Linked DNA regions of Pelodiscus sinensis. The protein of the gene in region 1 purifies or fractionates together with the protein of each later gene. This does not show direct contact. Links are inferred from orthologs where the notes say so. Each region holds a gene or a part of one and is shown on either strand. Other genes may lie near its edges. The genes, in order: AAK1 and REPS1.

Region 1 (8,462 bases):
ACCCACAACATGTAGGACCATATCCCCATTGGCTTGGATGGCATGACTTGTGATGTGCGAGACGATTCAGTGAAAAGATGGCAGAATCTCACACTATATCAGTGAATCTTTATATTTTGTGTCTGTCTGTGTGTGAGTTCAAGAACTCCTCCTAAATGGTAAGAGCCAGGACCACCAAATTTGTGATGCAGCTTCCTCATCTCCTAACTTAATGCAAGGTCAGGGTTAGGTTGTGCCAGGAGAACTGGAGCCCCAGGAAAGGGACAGTTTTCCGTAACATGCAAATCATGGGGCTGCCCTTCCAAGGGCTGCAATATGAGACCGCAGGGGAGAGCTTCCTGCAGAGTGTCCATTGGGGACAGCTGCCCCACCAAGGGCAGGGGTCTCCAGCCTTTTTAACCACAAGATCACTTTTTCAATTTAAATGCAATGTAAGATCTACCCCCAACCCAAATACCCTTGCCTGGCTTCCTTCCCCCCCATCCCCCCATCTCTGGGGCCCTGCCCCTCCTCCACCCCTTCTCTGACGCCTCCCCCTGCTCGCTCTGTTGCCCTTCCTCCCCGCATCGTATTCACTTTCACCAGGCTGGGGTAGGGGTACAGGCTCTAGTCTTGGTTGTGTGGCAAATGCCTTAGGCCAGTGTTTCTCAACCTTGTTTTATAAAGTGCCCCTTTTTCAAAAAAAGAATAATAAGTACCCCCAGTACCTACAGTTTGCACACAATTTGTTTAACAATTTAATTGTAGTTGATGAAATATTTGGTAAAAAGTAGAAAAATAATAAAAAGCTGTAAAACTTAAAATAAAAGTTGAGTTTTCTCCAAGTTGCAGTTGTTGATGCACCCCCTGTCCTTTGGGTACCCCTAAGGGTACTTGTACTGCTGGCTGAGGGGTGCTGCCCTAGGCCACTCCAGGGTCCACCCCCCCCCCCCTTGCCTTTAAGGGGTCCCTTTCTCCTGCCAGACCCTGGCCCATCCCTGGGGCAGCTAGAGCTTGAGCCCACCACCCTGTGCTCTCCAGGGGAATGTTCTATCCCTTAAGCCACTCCAGGGCTGAGCCCACCCAGTTCTGGTGGGTCCTAGACCCTGGGGTGGCTGTCTGGTTGCCACAAGATGGGTGCAGCTTGGGTGAAATGGAGACTCCAAGCCACAGCCCTGTCCTCTGCAGGCAAGTGCTGTATCTCCTGGCCCACTTGGGAGCCCAGCCCACCTCCCTCTGTGTGTGTGTGTGTGTGGGGGGGGGGGGTTAGTTCTTGAGCTGCCAGCAGCAGAACTTGGGCTTGAACCCACCATCCTGTGCTCCCCAGGCAAATACCCCATTCTCCAAGCCACTCCAGAGCCCTGTTCCCCCTCCTCCTCTACCTTCAGCAGGTCCCTTATCCTGCCTTCCTAATCCAGAGCCAGCTCCACCCCTCAGGCAGCCTGTGTTGGCAGCCCAGCCGTTGCCTGAGTGGGTGGAGGGGGTGGCACGGAGCCCACCACCCTGTGCTCCAGAGGCTAATGCCCATCCCCAAGTTCACTGGAGATCCCACTCCACCTCCCTACCTTCAAGCCGTCCCCTCTGCCCACCCTGGGAGTGACCAGACACAGGACTAGGGACGCTCTGAAGGCAGGGCTGTAGAGTGGGCAGTGGAATGGTCTAGGGGATAGGGCAGTTTCCTGGGGAGCCTAGCAGGGTAGGTTCAAGTCTTGCTAGACAGCTGCCCAGGAATAACACAGTAGAACTAAGACAGCCCAGGCCCTGTCCCACCCCCACAAAGCACCTGGCATGTACAGCAATGGCTCCATGTGCTGCCCCTCATCCACAGGCACTGCCTCCACTGGCCACAGTTCTCCATCATTGACCAATGGGAGCTGCAGGAGTGGTGCCTACTGACAAGGACAGCATACTCTGACTTCCCTAGGGGGCTGCAGACATGCCAGCCACCTCCAGGAGCACAACCAACCCCAGGGATAATTACTCCAGACATGACCAGTTTGGCATTTTAGTACTCGAAGAATTAAATTTAAGTGTAAGAGAGAAATGAAAGTTACGAAATGCACAGTCCAGTCAAACACTAAACAGAACCCACTTTGCCAGCAGTAAAAGTAGCAACAACCCCCCATGTACGTGTGGGGTCAGGGGATGAGAGGGAAGGACAGTGTGTGTTTGTGAGTGACAGAGACACACACAGTGCGTGGGCGTGACAGAGATTTGCATTGCCAAGCTCCCTCCATCCCCCCCTCTCTGTGGATACAGGGTACAGGAGTGGGGGGAGGAGGGACACCCTGACATCAGCCCCCCCTTCTCTCTCCCACACCCTGCACAGCAAGTAGGAAGCTTCCAAGGGGCAGCCGAAGGCAGAGGGCAGGAGCAGCATGACAGTGGGGGAGGGGCAACTGAAGTGCCAGCACTTGAGAGTTTCCCGGCCAAACCCGTCAGGATCCCCTGTCAGAGGTTCCAAGATCTACTGATAGATCCCGATCGACTGGTTGGTGACCCCTGACCAAGGGTGACCCAGCAGACCAAGGCCAAAGCTTCTATTTACATTAAACAAACCCTAAAAACTCTCCCCCCTCACCAGCCTGGTGAACCAGACTGGCACACAGAGAAGAATAGGTTAGTAATGTGTTGATGTTATTTCTGTGACAAGAGAAATTTCAGGCTTCAGCCAAAATTGGGGCCCATTGTCCTATGCCAGAGTGAGCGATAATTTTTGATTGGGAGCCACTCTGAGATTTTGGTAAGTGGTCAAGGGCCGGCCTCTTCTATGGAGGGTCTGGGATGGAGGTTGGGTGCAGAAGGGAGCTCGGGCTAGGGAACAGGGATGCAGGTCTGAGAGGGAGTTTGGGTAAAGGAGGGGGTTGTGAGCTGGGGCAGGGGATTGGGGTGCAGCAGGGGGTGCATAGTCAGGGAGGGGGTATGGATGCAGGAGAGGATTCTGGCCTGTGGGAGTGGTGTAGGAAGATGTGCAGGGTCTGGGAGGGAGTTCTTGAGTAGTGACCTAGGGCAGGGAGTTCGGATATGGGATGAGGCAAAGTACCAGAGGCAGGCTCTGGCGAGGAGGCACTTACCCTTGACAGCTCCCAGCCAGCAGCCCAGCGGGAACTTCAGGCAGACTCCGTGCCTGCCACAGTCCCAGACCACTCAAAGTAGTTGGCTGCGGGTGCCTCATGACTCTCTGTACCAGCCAATAGGAGTTGCGATGATTGTGCTGCATGGGGTGTATGTGTGTGTAGGCGTGCGTGCAAAGTCACCCCACATGGCCCCCCACGGGCTGAATCCAAAGGCTTGGTGGGCTGATCTGCCCCGTCTTAGGTGCTGTAAGACACCTTCTGCCCCAAGGAGCTTTCAGTGTAAACAGAGGCAAGCACAGGGTGGGAGACAGGAAACACAGGCACTGAGCACGGACGTGACGTGCTCAGGATCACACTGCGAGTTAGCATTAGAAAGTGGGGAAAGAGCTGACATCCAGCACCCACCCTGCCCTGTGAAGCTAGACTAGCTACTGCAGTGGCAAATTTTGGGGGCTCGCTGGGGGGAGCTGTGGACCAGCCATCCAGGACTGGCCCTAGGCCAAATGGTACTCTTTGGCACCCCCTCGCCTTTGCCCTCCCAGCATTTGATGGTAGGCAGGCCTGCTGACAGGGAGGGGCAAAGGGGCCTAAGGCACCTGCCACCACCACTGTTACTGCGGCAGCAGCAGTGGCTGGACACCCAGGGCTCTTTAAATTGCTGTTCCAGATGCTGCTGAAGGGGTGGGGGTGTGGTCCCGGTGGCAATGAAGCTCAGATACCTTGGTCCTGCCCCCCCATCCCTGCTCTTACAGCCTGAGGCCCTGCCCCTTCTGGGAGCACAGGGTCACCCCCTCCCCTTTCCAGAAGCCTGGTGAGTGGCCTCTGGTACACAGGGGATCTAGTGGTCCCTTCTGGCCTTCAACTCTTTGATGCCATGAAAAAGAAATAATAGAATAACAAATAATGAGTCTTGCCAACTCCGAACATTCATAAGCCAAACTACAAAAAATCTTGAGATTGGCTTAAAAACCACGGGATTAAAAATGATAAACTTTGGATTCTTTTTGTTTGCCCTCTTGTCTTCTGAACTTCTGAGGCACAATCAGGCCATGCCGCCATCCGGCATGAAGGCTAGGAACTTAGCTTTGATTTAAAAAAAAGTGATAGTCTCTCCTAATTACATGCTTCCCAGGTGTGGGGGTTTTATGAAACCCCAGCATCTTCCGTGGCTCAGGAGAAAAATCGCAAGCCCTGCATCTCGCTGAAGATTTGTGACTGTTACAGTGACATTTGTTTTTTAAAAAGTGCAGCTATAGCAAACAGCTCACATGGCTAAGGCACAGCCCTGCTCTCCCAATTCCAACAGAGCCTGTTCGTTTTGCTTAAGCAGCTGGCTGACTGTTTAAGGAGGCTGAGTAGATAAACTCCTACAAAGCAGGATGGGGGATGCCAGGAAATCAGGTCCACTGGAGAACACTACAGGGGCCTGGACTAGATAACCTCTGGAGGTCGTTCCCAGGCCTATAGTTCTGCGATTCACGGGTTCTCTCTGCTTTTCCGGCCAGGATGCTGTCCCTCTTGGTGCTGCCATGGTGGGGTCCAGAGAAACTACAACTCCCAGGCGCCCCTGCTGTAAGTCTGGCAGGGGGGAAGAGGAGGGGAAATTGCTTTTATACTCATTAATTAATCAAACCCACACCAAAGAGGGGGCACTGAACAAGGGTGACAACTAAACTCTCCACCACGCTTTACTCTTAACCCCCCACGCAAGCGCCTCTCCTGGTGCATTATGGGAATTGTAGTCCCTCTCGCTGCACAGCTGGCCGGAGCTGCCACCCGGGAGAACTACCACTCCCAGAATGCCATGCGACAGAGGTCTGTTGCAGTTTAAAAAAAACACTCTTTGATGCCCAGTTTCCTGGGCTGCTGCTTTAATGCTGGATCTGAGCCCCCCACCGCCCCCCTGCCCCTCCCAGCCCTTTGCCTTGTTTCGTCACCTGAAACCTGTTTGCAGGCGGGAGACTCATGCTGGGGATTAAGGGGTTAAAAAAAAGCTGGTGGGGGGATGGGAAATCACCCAGGCACCATCTCCCCACTCCACCCACCCTCCCTGAAGCAGGGACTTCCTGTGACAGTTCATTTCCTGGTTGGATGGAGCTGGAGCAGAGGGGGGGCTGGAGCAGGCTCAGCCTGTAATGGTCTCTGGCTATCAGCTGCTGTTAGCCTCCCTGAGTGGCAATGGTACCTTATAACAGTGTTTCATCCAGGGCTCGTAGAGCGGCTGCAGCAATGGTAACATTGTGGCCAAGTTGCTAGCTGGGTAGGTCCAGCCTTTCTGCAGTAAAGGGCTGGGGCAGCCTTCCCCTTAGCTCCTAGGTGTGTGTGAATGGGGGGCAGGGATCCAGGGAGAGGTGCATCATTCTTTTATAACCAACTGCTTGCAGTGCTTGGTGGGAGGAGTGCAAGAATTTGTCTGTTAATATTTAGGGGAACGGTGGGAACATCTTTGGGGGTTTTAATTTTGTCCAGGGTCTGGCTGATTTTTTTAAGTATTTGTAATTGTTTGTCCTCCCCCCTCCCTTGTTTTGATACTGTCATTACAGGTCTAAATCTTACAAGCTCTGCCTGCCAGGAGGAGGGGGAAAATCATCTGCCCTACTTAAAACAAACAAGCAAAAATCACCGCTGGGAGTGGATTATTTTAATTGGCTGGAATCAAGAAGGGGAAAATATTGGACCTTGGAAAATAACATCGCCTTTGATTATAATACAGTTATATCTCTGGGGAGATGAAGAAGTTTTTTGACTCTCGTCGAGAGCTGGGGGGTTCTGGCCCTGGTTCTGGTACCAGTAGTGGAAGCGGCAGTTCTAGCGGACCAGGGAGTGGGTACATTGGCAGGGTGTTCCATATTGGGAGATACCAGGTGACGGTGGATGAAGTGCTGGCTGAAGGTAAGAATGCAGTGTCTTTATTCTCCCTTTTCCATTAACTACAAACAGAGGCTTGGGCCTTTCTTTAATCATATTTCTGCCCCCCCCCCCTTTCAAAATTTAATTGCCCTGGAGGGGTTTGTGAACTGGTGGCTTCTACAGCTGACTGGTTTCTCAGATACGTAAATCAATTGCAGGTAATGCTGGTGATTTTTATATATATAAATCCAAAGGGACAATATAAAAACAGCAGGTACTGGATTTTCCCAGCTTCAAACTTGGAATGCTTTAAAAACAACCATCATGGTACATTGTGGTGGGGGAAAGATGCACTTATGAACAACAAAAGCAGTGGTCTTCTAACTTTTTGGCCTGATTCCTTCTACCCACCTTCATCGGGGGACACCTTGAAGTAAATTTTCTCTGTCATATTTTATAGATCAACCAGGGCTAACTGCTGGTTGTGGTGTGGGATTGTTTGTTTGTTTGTTTGTTTGTATATGCGGGGCTACTGCAAAGAAAACTGGAATCCAGATTACATGTTCGGGTTGTAAAGTACTTTAAAAGGGGGAAGAAAAAACCCAACAGGAAGGGCTTGAAATCCTAAAGGTGTTTATACATTAGATGTGACATTCTTGCAATGTAAAAAACTGGTGAAGTGTGTGTAAATTAATATTTTATCTGGAGCACTGCTGCTGTAATTAGAATTTTACTTGTCATGTATGTGCTTAGGCACTAACAGAATCTTCTGAATGCTTCTTGCTGGTAACCTTACCCTCGACCTTCAGAATAATAATGTTGCCTTCCCTAGATCTACTCACAGTTCATCCTTTGCACAGCATCCTCTGAATCTTCAGTCAGACCAGTGTTTTGTCAGTTGTCTAGGGTTCTGCAAATGGATTGCCTGGAATAGGCCAGGGTTAAAAGAGAGAAGGAAGCTGGTGCATGAGAACTGAGTGGGGGGAGGAGGGGAAAGGGAGCAGTGTGTTAGGAATCTCCAACCATCTTTTCAAGTCTTTGTTGATTTCAGTTCCTACCTGGGTGGTGACTCTGGTGAGCGCTGGGGATGAGATGGGGGAGGAGGCCAAAACCTGTCATCTGGAAACACCCCACAAGCTCGTAGGTGGTTATACAGAACTTGTTCTTGTTGGGTGAGGCACTGACTTTACGGGTACAGTCTGGGTCTCTTGGCCTTTAAGGACTATAGCCTGCTGGCAGCGGGAGTCCAGGAAGGAGGCTCACTACCAGCTGGTCTTGCTGTCATTACACAGCTGGCCTAAAACTTGTTCTCTGGCCTGCAACACAGGCAAAATACATTTCTTTGCGGGTGAATAATCTCCGCTGGCAGGTCCTGCCCAGGATGCTGACAGCAGCATGAGAAAGCTTCCATGCTCCTGGGACCTCTCCTGATCAGCCCTCCTAGGATGCATTGTGCGCTTCAGTTCATCTGCGCCCATGCTTAGGAGGGGTGGGCTAGAGGCAGGGAGACTTGGCCCCTTGCTGTGCTATCAGTCACACAACCGCCTGCTGGAGACCTTTTGTGACTGAGTGTCTAGGTGCAGAGAGCAGGGACAAGGATTAAGGACTCCTGGAGTCTAAACCTGGCTTTCAATACGGTTGGCTGACTAGGGGTTGGACTGGGTCAAAGGACTTGACTCCTGGTCCCGACTCTGCCATCAGCCTGCTTGCACAAATGAATCCGGGCACGGCTAACCCTGTAAAACAGGTCTGATTCATGCCTTGCAGCAAGGCTACAGGGATGTGCGAGGAGCTGAGTCCCTTCTCCTGTTGGATGCTGGGGCCAGGGTTCTGTCCCTCAAATGAGCCCGTTGCTACGACTGGTCAAAAATTCCAAAGGAGACTCAGCACCTCGCCTCCTTGGTGCATGTCCCAAAGGCCTTGCCAAGTGACTGGTTAATAGCAGAGCATTGGGCTAGTGGCTTGGTGAAGGCCCATGGGACCCTTCTGCCCCTGGGAGGAAGGGGGAATGGAGGAAACCACCCTTCCATAAATAGAGGGTGCAGCCAAAGAAATGGGGGTCACTTGAGAAGGCAGCATAGGTCAAACTTTCTGCAGCGTCGCATTTTTCCTGCCTGTTGGCATTGCATTCAGTGTGGCACCGCAGTGCCCATTCAGGGCTGTTAACGTGTAGGGTTCTGGAGAACCGCCTAGCAACTTGGACCTTGAGTTGGTGCAATCTAGATCCATCTCGGATGGAAATGTTTGCACCCATAGGCCAAAGTGTGTCACTGACTTGACAGTTCTGAGAGACTGAGCCAAGAAGCCTCGTCCTCTTCCGCTAGAGCGAAACCACCTAGGAAGTGACACTTCCCAAGAGGAGGTGACCTTTGTTGGCTGGGAAAGACGATGGCCCTCCTCTGCCCCTTGTTTAATTAAGCATGGCAAGCTGGTAGAATGGCACTGGCATAGGCAGTCAGAAGCAAGACAGGTTATTGCGAAAGTGATTTAAGAATTGGAGTCTGAAATAATGAATGATGGGAAACGCATATGCGCCTTGTTAAACTAGTTCCTCAG
Region 2 (8,528 bases), on another chromosome or scaffold:
TGAGAATCAGAGGATAATGTGTGATCGTTGTGACTTGCAGTTTCAATAAGGCCCTTAAACTGAGAGGGAACTCAGTAGGAATATAGGCTTTGTCTCATTTTCCCGCACCCCTTCTACAATGCTTCATCCCTACTGCTCTAGCTTATAAATAGGCTTGGTAGAATACACTTATTTTTTATAACTTTGTGTAATATATGTTTTAAGCTTTTTGTCTTTTTATAATTTTCACAGTTGTGGGAAATGATGGGGGGGCTAATAATATTTTAATGATAACAGAAGTTAAGATTCAAAGAGTTCAAGATTTACAGCTGTTAAAATACAAACCGAGAGACAAGGTAGGTGAGGTAATACCTTTTTGTTAAAAAAGTTTTGGAACAGCTTTAGTTGGTGAGACATTAGCCCTTTTGAACTCCACAGAGCTGGAGAAGAGCTCTCTGGAGTTCCAAAGATTGTCTCTTTAACCAACCATATTTGGTCCAATTGAAAATATTACTTCATTCACCTTGTGACTCTCATCCTTGTACCAATGTGATTACAACAAAGCAGAAAAAAACACTAACTGTCAATATCTCATGTCACGGTATACACAATAAATATCCTAACACCAGACATAATTTGTTGACTTTTCAGTCAATCATCAATTTGTAACACACCCAGTTCAGAAGTTTGTATCACTTAATTTTTAACTCTAACAAGTTCTCAAGAAGCATTTTTCTTGCTTTTTTTGTAAATAATTTAATTATTACTGATAGAAATGTCAGGATTTGTGAAATCTAAGAGCTAATTTCTAAGTTATTTGCAAAAAAAATATCCTATTGATTTCAGGTGCCTAAGTATCCTCTGGAATCACAGTTAAAGCTGCCTCCTCCTCTTCCTTCTCCCCCCCCCCCAAAAAAAATCTATAATGGCACCCCTGATGAGTCCAGAGTGGCCTGAGGGCTTCAGAAGGGCCATGGGCTTAGGCAAAATGCAGCCCCCATCTGTTAGCATGGAACTCACCTTGAGCTGCAGGCCAGGCAAAAGGGACAAGTGCAGCTGCAGCAAGGGAGCTGCCAGGGCTTCTGCAGAGCAGCTCAAACTGTGGAGGAAGTACACACTGAAGGGCAAATGAGTGTGACACATTCCGATTTTTCACCCACTTTTTCATTTCACAATCTGATGCCATTCAAAAATAGCAGCCTTCCTTCTGTGCCTCATATTTTAATCTAAAATAATCCATTCCCATATAGCTCTTAAAAGAAGAGCTTGGCCAAGAAGCACTGATAATGACAATTCTCTTTGCAAGGGGCAAGAGAGACTAGCAGGCCCTGCATCCAAGGGAGCAAAGGACTGAGTAGCTTCCTTCCTGTGCCCCAAGGATGTGCCTTGTCCCTTAATCTGCTGAGAATCCAGTTCCACCCCGTATGTGGAAAATGCTGTGGCTCACAATCTCTCCAGTCGCAAGGATTGTCACAGTTTGCAGCAGCAAAGGCATGTAGGGCTGCTTTCTGAATCTTAATGAATAACACTTGTTATTTGTTCTTATTCATTAGTTTAGTGTTTAGTTTTAGTTTGACACTTTATTATTTTAATAAAACTGAATCAAATTTGTGTCAATTTTTTTAGTACATTTATGAAAACTACAGGTATTGAGATTACTGATTTATTTCTGAAACTTTCACTAATGCTACTACATACTTAAATCCACAGGCTACAAAAAACAATTTTGCTGAGGATGCCATTTTCCTTAAGGCTGGCCTTGGCTGAAGAAACATATATGCTTCATTCCTGGGAGCTGAAATTCATACAATAACTAGCACTGACTGTTCTTCCAGCAGGTTGGATATGAGGAAACAAAACAATTCCACTTCCATCAAAACCCTGTTATAAAACAGAAAGGAAAATAAAGTCTAAATTCTAGACCTTTTGTTTTTAGGGCATCCTGGCTCCTTTTTACAATGTCTCATTTGGAAAAGCATGGCCTTGCCACTCTGAATAAATTTGATTACATGACAAATGTATCTAATTAGGTTAATGTATTTGGATATCTATCTGTAGAAATCTGTAGCACTAACAGTACAAAGGCTGCACATCACAACAAACCTACAGTTGATTGAAAACTATACAATACTGTAATATTGTAGACCTCTTATCTGGTCATGTGTCAAGGTAGCTGTTGCCTCAGTATCCCATTCAAATAAAGATGGCTCTCAGCCTAAAATGAGCTCCACCATTTCCAGGGTAATTCTGTCCACAAAAATTCAACAAAATAAACAAACTTCTTGTGGATCTTCTTTCTAGTTGTATTCCAAGAAAACCAACCTATCCTGATAGTGGTCCAAGGACCAAACTTAAGCAACAAAAGTTTCTGAGCTACAAAGAGTATCTGGCCTGTTCTTTGGCTACTCTGGTTTTAGACTTTTTGCCAGTCTTACCACAAACTACAGGGAGCTCTGTCTTTTCTCTGCCAGAATCTCCAGCCCTTGGGTTTGAAAAGGAAACAGATGGTCACCCAGTCTTTCAGCAAGCTCTGCTTTCTTGCCCATCCACACAAAGTTCCTCCAATGTAACTGAAATACCCTTACCCAGGGCTTCCCCTTTCTCATCTCTCAGTTCTCTGTAGGATACCTTTAGCTACAGTCACTTCCAAGGCCCCCTCTATGTAGACCCACCAGCAGATCTTTCTTTCTGTGTTGTGAGAGGAAAATAGAGGTTTATATAATATGTTCCCTTTCTTATCATGCCTCCACTCAAGATCATCTCCTCTGAAGAATTGGGTTTTGCCTATGAAAGCTCATGATTCTCTCTCTCTCTAAGTCTCTAAGGACATGTCTACAGAGCAGAGCTAAAGCCAGAATAAGCTATGCAATTTGAGCTACATCAATTGTGTAACTTAAGTTGAAATAGCTTATTTCGGCTTTTGGCACTGTCTACGCAGCGGGGAGTCCGAGGTAGAGAACTCTTCCTCCAACTTCCCTTATGTCTCATAAAAGGAGGGTAACAGGAGTTGGCGTAAGAAGTCCTTCAGCTTGACGTTATTTCGACATTATGTTGAAATAACTACTTGTGTCGACGTGGACTATGTTATTTTGGAAAAATGTCAGTTATTCCAAAATAATGCTGTGTAGATGCACCATCTGGTGCCATGGGACTACTTCTTATATCTGCCTAAGTTTGTCAGTATTCTCATTAACTTCAGTGATCATAGTGATGTACTTAAAATTGATCATATTGATGTACATGTGCTTCAGAGTTGTAAGATTAGGGCTTTAATTACTTAGGGTTTTGGATGCTAGAATATTTTAAAATACAGTGGCCATTTATAAACAGCCATTGAGTATCTTGATGTTTGTATGTCAGGAATGCAAGATCTTCCCCAATAAGTCTATGCATACAGCTCTATTGATTTTCCCTTTGATAAACAGTTACATATGAGGAAAAATTAAGTGGTAAGTGGATATAATTTAGTAAAGTGATCATGAAGACAGGAGGATGAAAAAGATGGGATTTACAAAGATCTGAAGGATGTAAATAGTAAAGATGGAAAGAAATTATGTAGGATAATACATAAAGGATATATGAAGAATTTTACACATGTAAGGACTGCAAATATCTGAAAAGTGACTGGATTTTAAACACTTTTATTTTACACAAATGCTTCTGACAAGAGTCCAGGATTTTTTGAAAATTAAGAAAAGGGCTCCTTTGATCCAGAAAACTTGATAGCATGATCACAATGCTTTTGCATCTGGGAGTGAAAAATTTCCGCCACTTACTGTTTCTTCTTTTTGGAAGGATCAGTAGTAGCAAAAGTCCAGCTCTTCATTCAGAGTTACTGGAATTTTTCCAAATCTTTCCTGCTCATCTCTAGTCTTAGCTCACTTGGTCTGTAAGGACAATGAAAGTTTCTATAGCCCTGAGGAGTTATAGCAGACAGGTGCATTTGACAAAATCTGTTCCATGCTTTATGTATGCAAAAGGAATTTAGCAAGTTAATTATAAATAACCTTTTTAGTATATGTCAATTATATTTTCAGAAGTAAGCCTCAGCATGTACAATCAGCTTTTTAAAACCCACATTCATTTACCTCTTCAGAGCTATGGGAAGGTACTTGAGAGCATGCAAGATTTTAACTGACAACTCCTTTAAACGAATAAAACATTATAACATACTTGCTATATTTGGCATCAGTGGACAAATGCATTTCTAGTTTCCCATTAAGTTGTCCAATACTGTACTCCTTTTCTAAGAAAATTGTGTTTTATAGATGAATATTTTGTCTGTAGGCTGCTAAGGAGGTGGGACAGGAAAAGAATGCTGCACCTCCTTCCTTCTGTCAATGGTCCCTAGATTTGTTCATCCCATGATGATTTTCTGACTTTGATCTTTTTTTTGTTAAAGTTTTGTGGTTAGCTTTGATTAACAGGCAAGCGCTCTTCAGGCTGAATTCACCCAACATAAGGTTTAATCAGAGGTGAAATCCGGTGCACTTTGATGTGCAGCTCCGGCAAGAGCTGGATTGCTACACCAAAAGCCAGCAGGGAGCTATTTAAAGAGCTGGCAGGCACCCTGGTTGCAATGGGACCATGGGGTTTAATCAGTAACAGGAAGCTGGAACAAGGTGTGCAGGGCGGGGGCTGAGAGCCATTCAACCTGCCAGCCCCAGAGAAGGGAGACCACTAGATGGCCGGGCACCCCCTGTTCCAGCACCCACGGTGATCCCTCGTCCCCGCGCCTAGGGCTGCAGCGGTGAGATCTAGCCCCGCCCGCCCTGACTCCTGGGGCACGTCTCTGACACCAATACGGGAGGCGGCTCCGTCCAGGGATCGCTCCATACAAGCCGGGGCGGCCGGGCGGGCACCTGTAACTCAGGTGCCTAAAGCCGCACCACCCAGCGCGGGAGGCACCACGGCGGGGAGCAGCCGCAAGGGCGGGGGAGCCGGCACCAGGCTGCCGCCCGCCCGCCACGCCAGCAGGGGGCGCTGCCGGGCGCCCCTCCCCGCCGACTCCGGCCCAGCGAAGGCCTCACATCCGGGCCGGGAGGGAGGGGCCTGTTTTGCTCCGCAGCCTCCCCGCCCCCTCTCTGGGGCTTCGTAAACGGCGGCGGCTTCGCTGGGCAAAGAGAAGGGGGCGGGGCCGAAACTTTTATAGCCCCGCCCACCCCCCGCGCTTCCGGTGCGGCGCCCTCACAGCGCGAGCGCAGCGGCCGGGCCTCGCGAGGGACCGCGGCGCGGGCGGGGCCCGAGAGGGAAGCGGCGCGCGCGGGATTCGCCCCTGGCCCGCCCCCCCCCAGCTCGTCTCGCGGCCGGGCGCGATGGAAGGCCTGACGCTGAGCGAGGCGGAGCAGCGCTATTACTGCGACCTCTTCGCCTACTGCGACACCGAGAGCACCAAGAAGGTGGCGCCCAACGGGCGGGTGCTGGAGCTGTTCCGCGCCGCGCAGCTGCCCAGCGAGGTGGTCCTGCAGGTACCGGCCGCTTCTCGCCTTCCCCCCGCCCCCTCGTGGGCCCCGCCCGCTTCCCGGCGCTGAGCCGCCCCTCAGCCCCCCTGGGTGCAGCGGGAGTCGCGCCCCCCTACGGCCTTGTCATCCCTCCCGGGGGAGCCTGGCCCGGCCCGGTGGCTGCCACAGGTGCTGGGGCGAAGGGGGGGTTATGGCTTGCAGCGGTCTCCGTTCTGCGCAGGGGTTACAGCTGGCTTTAGTGGCTGTCAGCGCCCACGTTTCCCGCACCCCGGCCATTGCTGCTGAACCAGAGGCGGGGGAGGGGGCGTCTCTCAAAGTCTATCCCTGTTCTGCCTCTGCAGTGGGGGCTCTGTGCTGAGGGCAGGCACTGGGGTTAACTACAGGTTAGGGGTTGGTGTATGTGACCTGCCTGAGGGACAGTCAGGTGTTCCTCTCCCGAGAAACGCTGTGCTGAGGTATGACAACTTCAGTGCTGTGACTCTTGCTGTGCTTGGGCTGTTGCCCCAGCTGTACTGGGAATGGGGTAATTTTTGTGTTTATCCGAGTTGGAGCAAAGTGGAGGCTCAGAGCATGTTGTCCTTCAGATCTTACTAATATTGAAGTCTTAACTTGCTGGGTTGCAGAGGCTACCTGAATGAGTTCCTGTGGTCCTATTAATCTTAGGCTGAGAAGTATGTCACTTGCAAAAACTATGGGAAAGTCCATCCGAAGCATAGGAATTTGAGCACTGCTGGGAAGTACTGATAGCAGGATACGGGAAATCTGTACTTTTATTCCTGTTTGTGTTTCTGGCTCAGTGACCTTGTTCAGATAAATAACTCTCTACTTTTTTTCTAATTTGAAAAAGTAGAGTACCTGCAGATCTTATAAAGTGCCTTGACATCAGTGAAAAATGCAGTTTTAAAATTGGATAATACAGGCAGGTTGTGCTAAAGCAGTAGACTCCCACTAGTAATGTGTGGAAGCAAAGTTCCAGCACTACTACTGTAACCAGTGGGAACTGGGACTTATGTGAAAGCTACATTACTGAGTTACAAATTGTGCTACCAGTGTAGCTAAGGGATAATTTAGCATCGTTTGTCTAATATAGTTCCTAGAAAAGTATCCACAGGGGAACTATAGAGGCAATAGCTTGTGTGTGCATCCACCATAATATGTTCATGGCTGTGATATGTTTGTGAAGTGTAGTTCCCTGAAAGAGGCTATAAGCAGAATAAAGTGTTATTTCTAGAAAGCCATACCATCTCATAGGTACACTGTTGCCTCAGTGAAGAGTCAGAGTTGCTTACTGTTATCCAAGACCAACAAACATGTATCCATCAGCTTCTTTCAACTCAGAAGAGGGTTTAATTTCAGGAGTGTGTACACACTTTATCAGGGAGCATTGGTGTTGCTTTTTAGTCACTTAAAAGCAAGAGATTTGATTAGGTGAGAGGAGTTTAAAATGAACCAGATCTCTTTATTCTATTTAGCTGAATCAGTTGATAAGTTGTGGGTAGTATAAAAATATGGCAAGCACTAAAATTAACTTAAATAATCATGTTTCCTAGTAATTTATTTGTCCTTATTGTGTTCATGATCTACACTGTTTAAATCTCTAAATGAAAACTTGTTTTTCAATATTTTATTAATGAGATCTCAAGGGCCACCCAAATATTAGTATTTGTGTTCTGAATTACACAATACCCACAGTCTTTACGCTCATCATATGAACACAGCTGGATGTGTATTGTTTAGTGTCTCTTCTACATAAATCTTGAAATGTTGTGTGTATATAAACTAGTACAGTGTTGGCATGCTTTACTTGATGCAGTAGCTTAGTGGAATAGTGTAATCTTGTGCTTTGTATATCACTAGTCCCAGGTTCTAGGAATGTAACCAGTTAACTGGTAAGCATCACCATTACTGGCTGATGCTTACCAGTGAGCGCAGCATGGCATGGTACAGGCAGTCCCCGGGTTACGTACAAGATAGGGACTGTAGGCTTGTTCTTAAGTTGAATTTGTATGTAAGTTGGAACTGGTACATATTTTGGGGGGGGACGGGGAGCTGGAGTTAGGTGGAAAAGACCCTGATTCTCATACAACTTCCTTATTCTAAGAAAAACACATACTGTTTTGATATGAAGGTTTTTTTGGTTGATATTTTAATTAAAAATTGATCATAAGTTTCAGTGTTTCATGCTATATCCAAATCTTCCTTTTGGGGTACCTGAAAGATCCCAGTTATTCATTTAATAGTCAGAATCTTTGTTTTTTATATCTAAAAAAAGTTTATTCAATGCATATTACTGTTTCAAATAGAATTTGCTACAGATGGTTCAGTGAAATGGGTATTAAGTGTAATCAATAGTCATTGGAGAGCACAGTGAAATATTGATACAATCAAAGCTGTTGTATTCTGCTGAGCAGAAAATGGAAATCCCTTCCTGTGAAGTAAGTGTGTGTGTGTGTGTGTGTGTGTGTGTGTGTGTGTGAATTTATCCACAGGATTAATTTTAAAGAAAAATTCTGTGTTGGGAACAGGAGTTTAGCCACAGGTGGGTCCTCATTGTCCACTCACCCACTTTGCAACCAGACCCATCCCCTCGGGGCTTACCCTGCTCCGCTCCAGCCAGGGTGTGGGGTTGGGGCTTATCCCCTCTTCCCTTCTGTCCTGCACCTCCCCATTCTTGCCCACCCACACCACTAGGTAATTTTTCAGCTTCACCTCTGCCAGGCTGGAAGGGACTTGTTAATTTCACGTGACGCTAATAAGATACTTGCAGCTCTAGTGCTGAAGAGGGAAAGAGCTGTTGCTCCCAAGGTGGGGACTGTAACACAATGGGTCTCACTGCCTGCTGCTCCTGCTGTTCCCTAGGAAATTAATTTTTCCGCTCTGGGGTGCCCCCTTTTGGCTGGTGTCTTGTTCCCCCCCAGCAGACCTGCATCCTCTGCGGTGAGAAAAGCCGCTCCGTGTCTCCCTGGTCTGCTGGGGGAGGGGGAGGGGCGCTAGCTCTGCGTCTACCTGGTCTGCTGAGGAGAAGTGCCCCCTGTGCCGCCGGAGGTGGCGACAGTGGGGGAGGCACCACGCACTAGCTGCGCCCCT

The links.
Region 2: the proteins of AAK1 (region 1) and REPS1 purify together in Homo sapiens (affinity purification with mass spectrometry; 3 studies listed by BioGRID and IntAct, counting the BioPlex papers as one, with this or other methods). This does not show direct contact. The link is inferred for Pelodiscus sinensis from reciprocal best matches to the Homo sapiens genes AAK1 and REPS1.

The regions. Positions count from the first base shown.
Region 1 is NC_134738.1:1,521,162-1,529,623, reverse strand, and holds the start of AAK1 (AP2-associated protein kinase 1), read left to right. Parts: upstream 1-5,023; 5' UTR 5,024-5,372; intron 5,373-5,599; 5' UTR 5,600-5,785; coding exon 5,786-5,948; intron 5,949-8,462.
Region 2 is NC_134713.1:99,103,483-99,112,010, reverse strand, and holds the start of REPS1 (ralBP1-associated Eps domain-containing protein 1), read left to right. Parts: upstream 1-5,147; 5' UTR 5,148-5,294; coding exon 5,295-5,447; intron 5,448-8,528. UniProt on the Homo sapiens protein: May coordinate the cellular actions of activated EGF receptors and Ral-GTPases.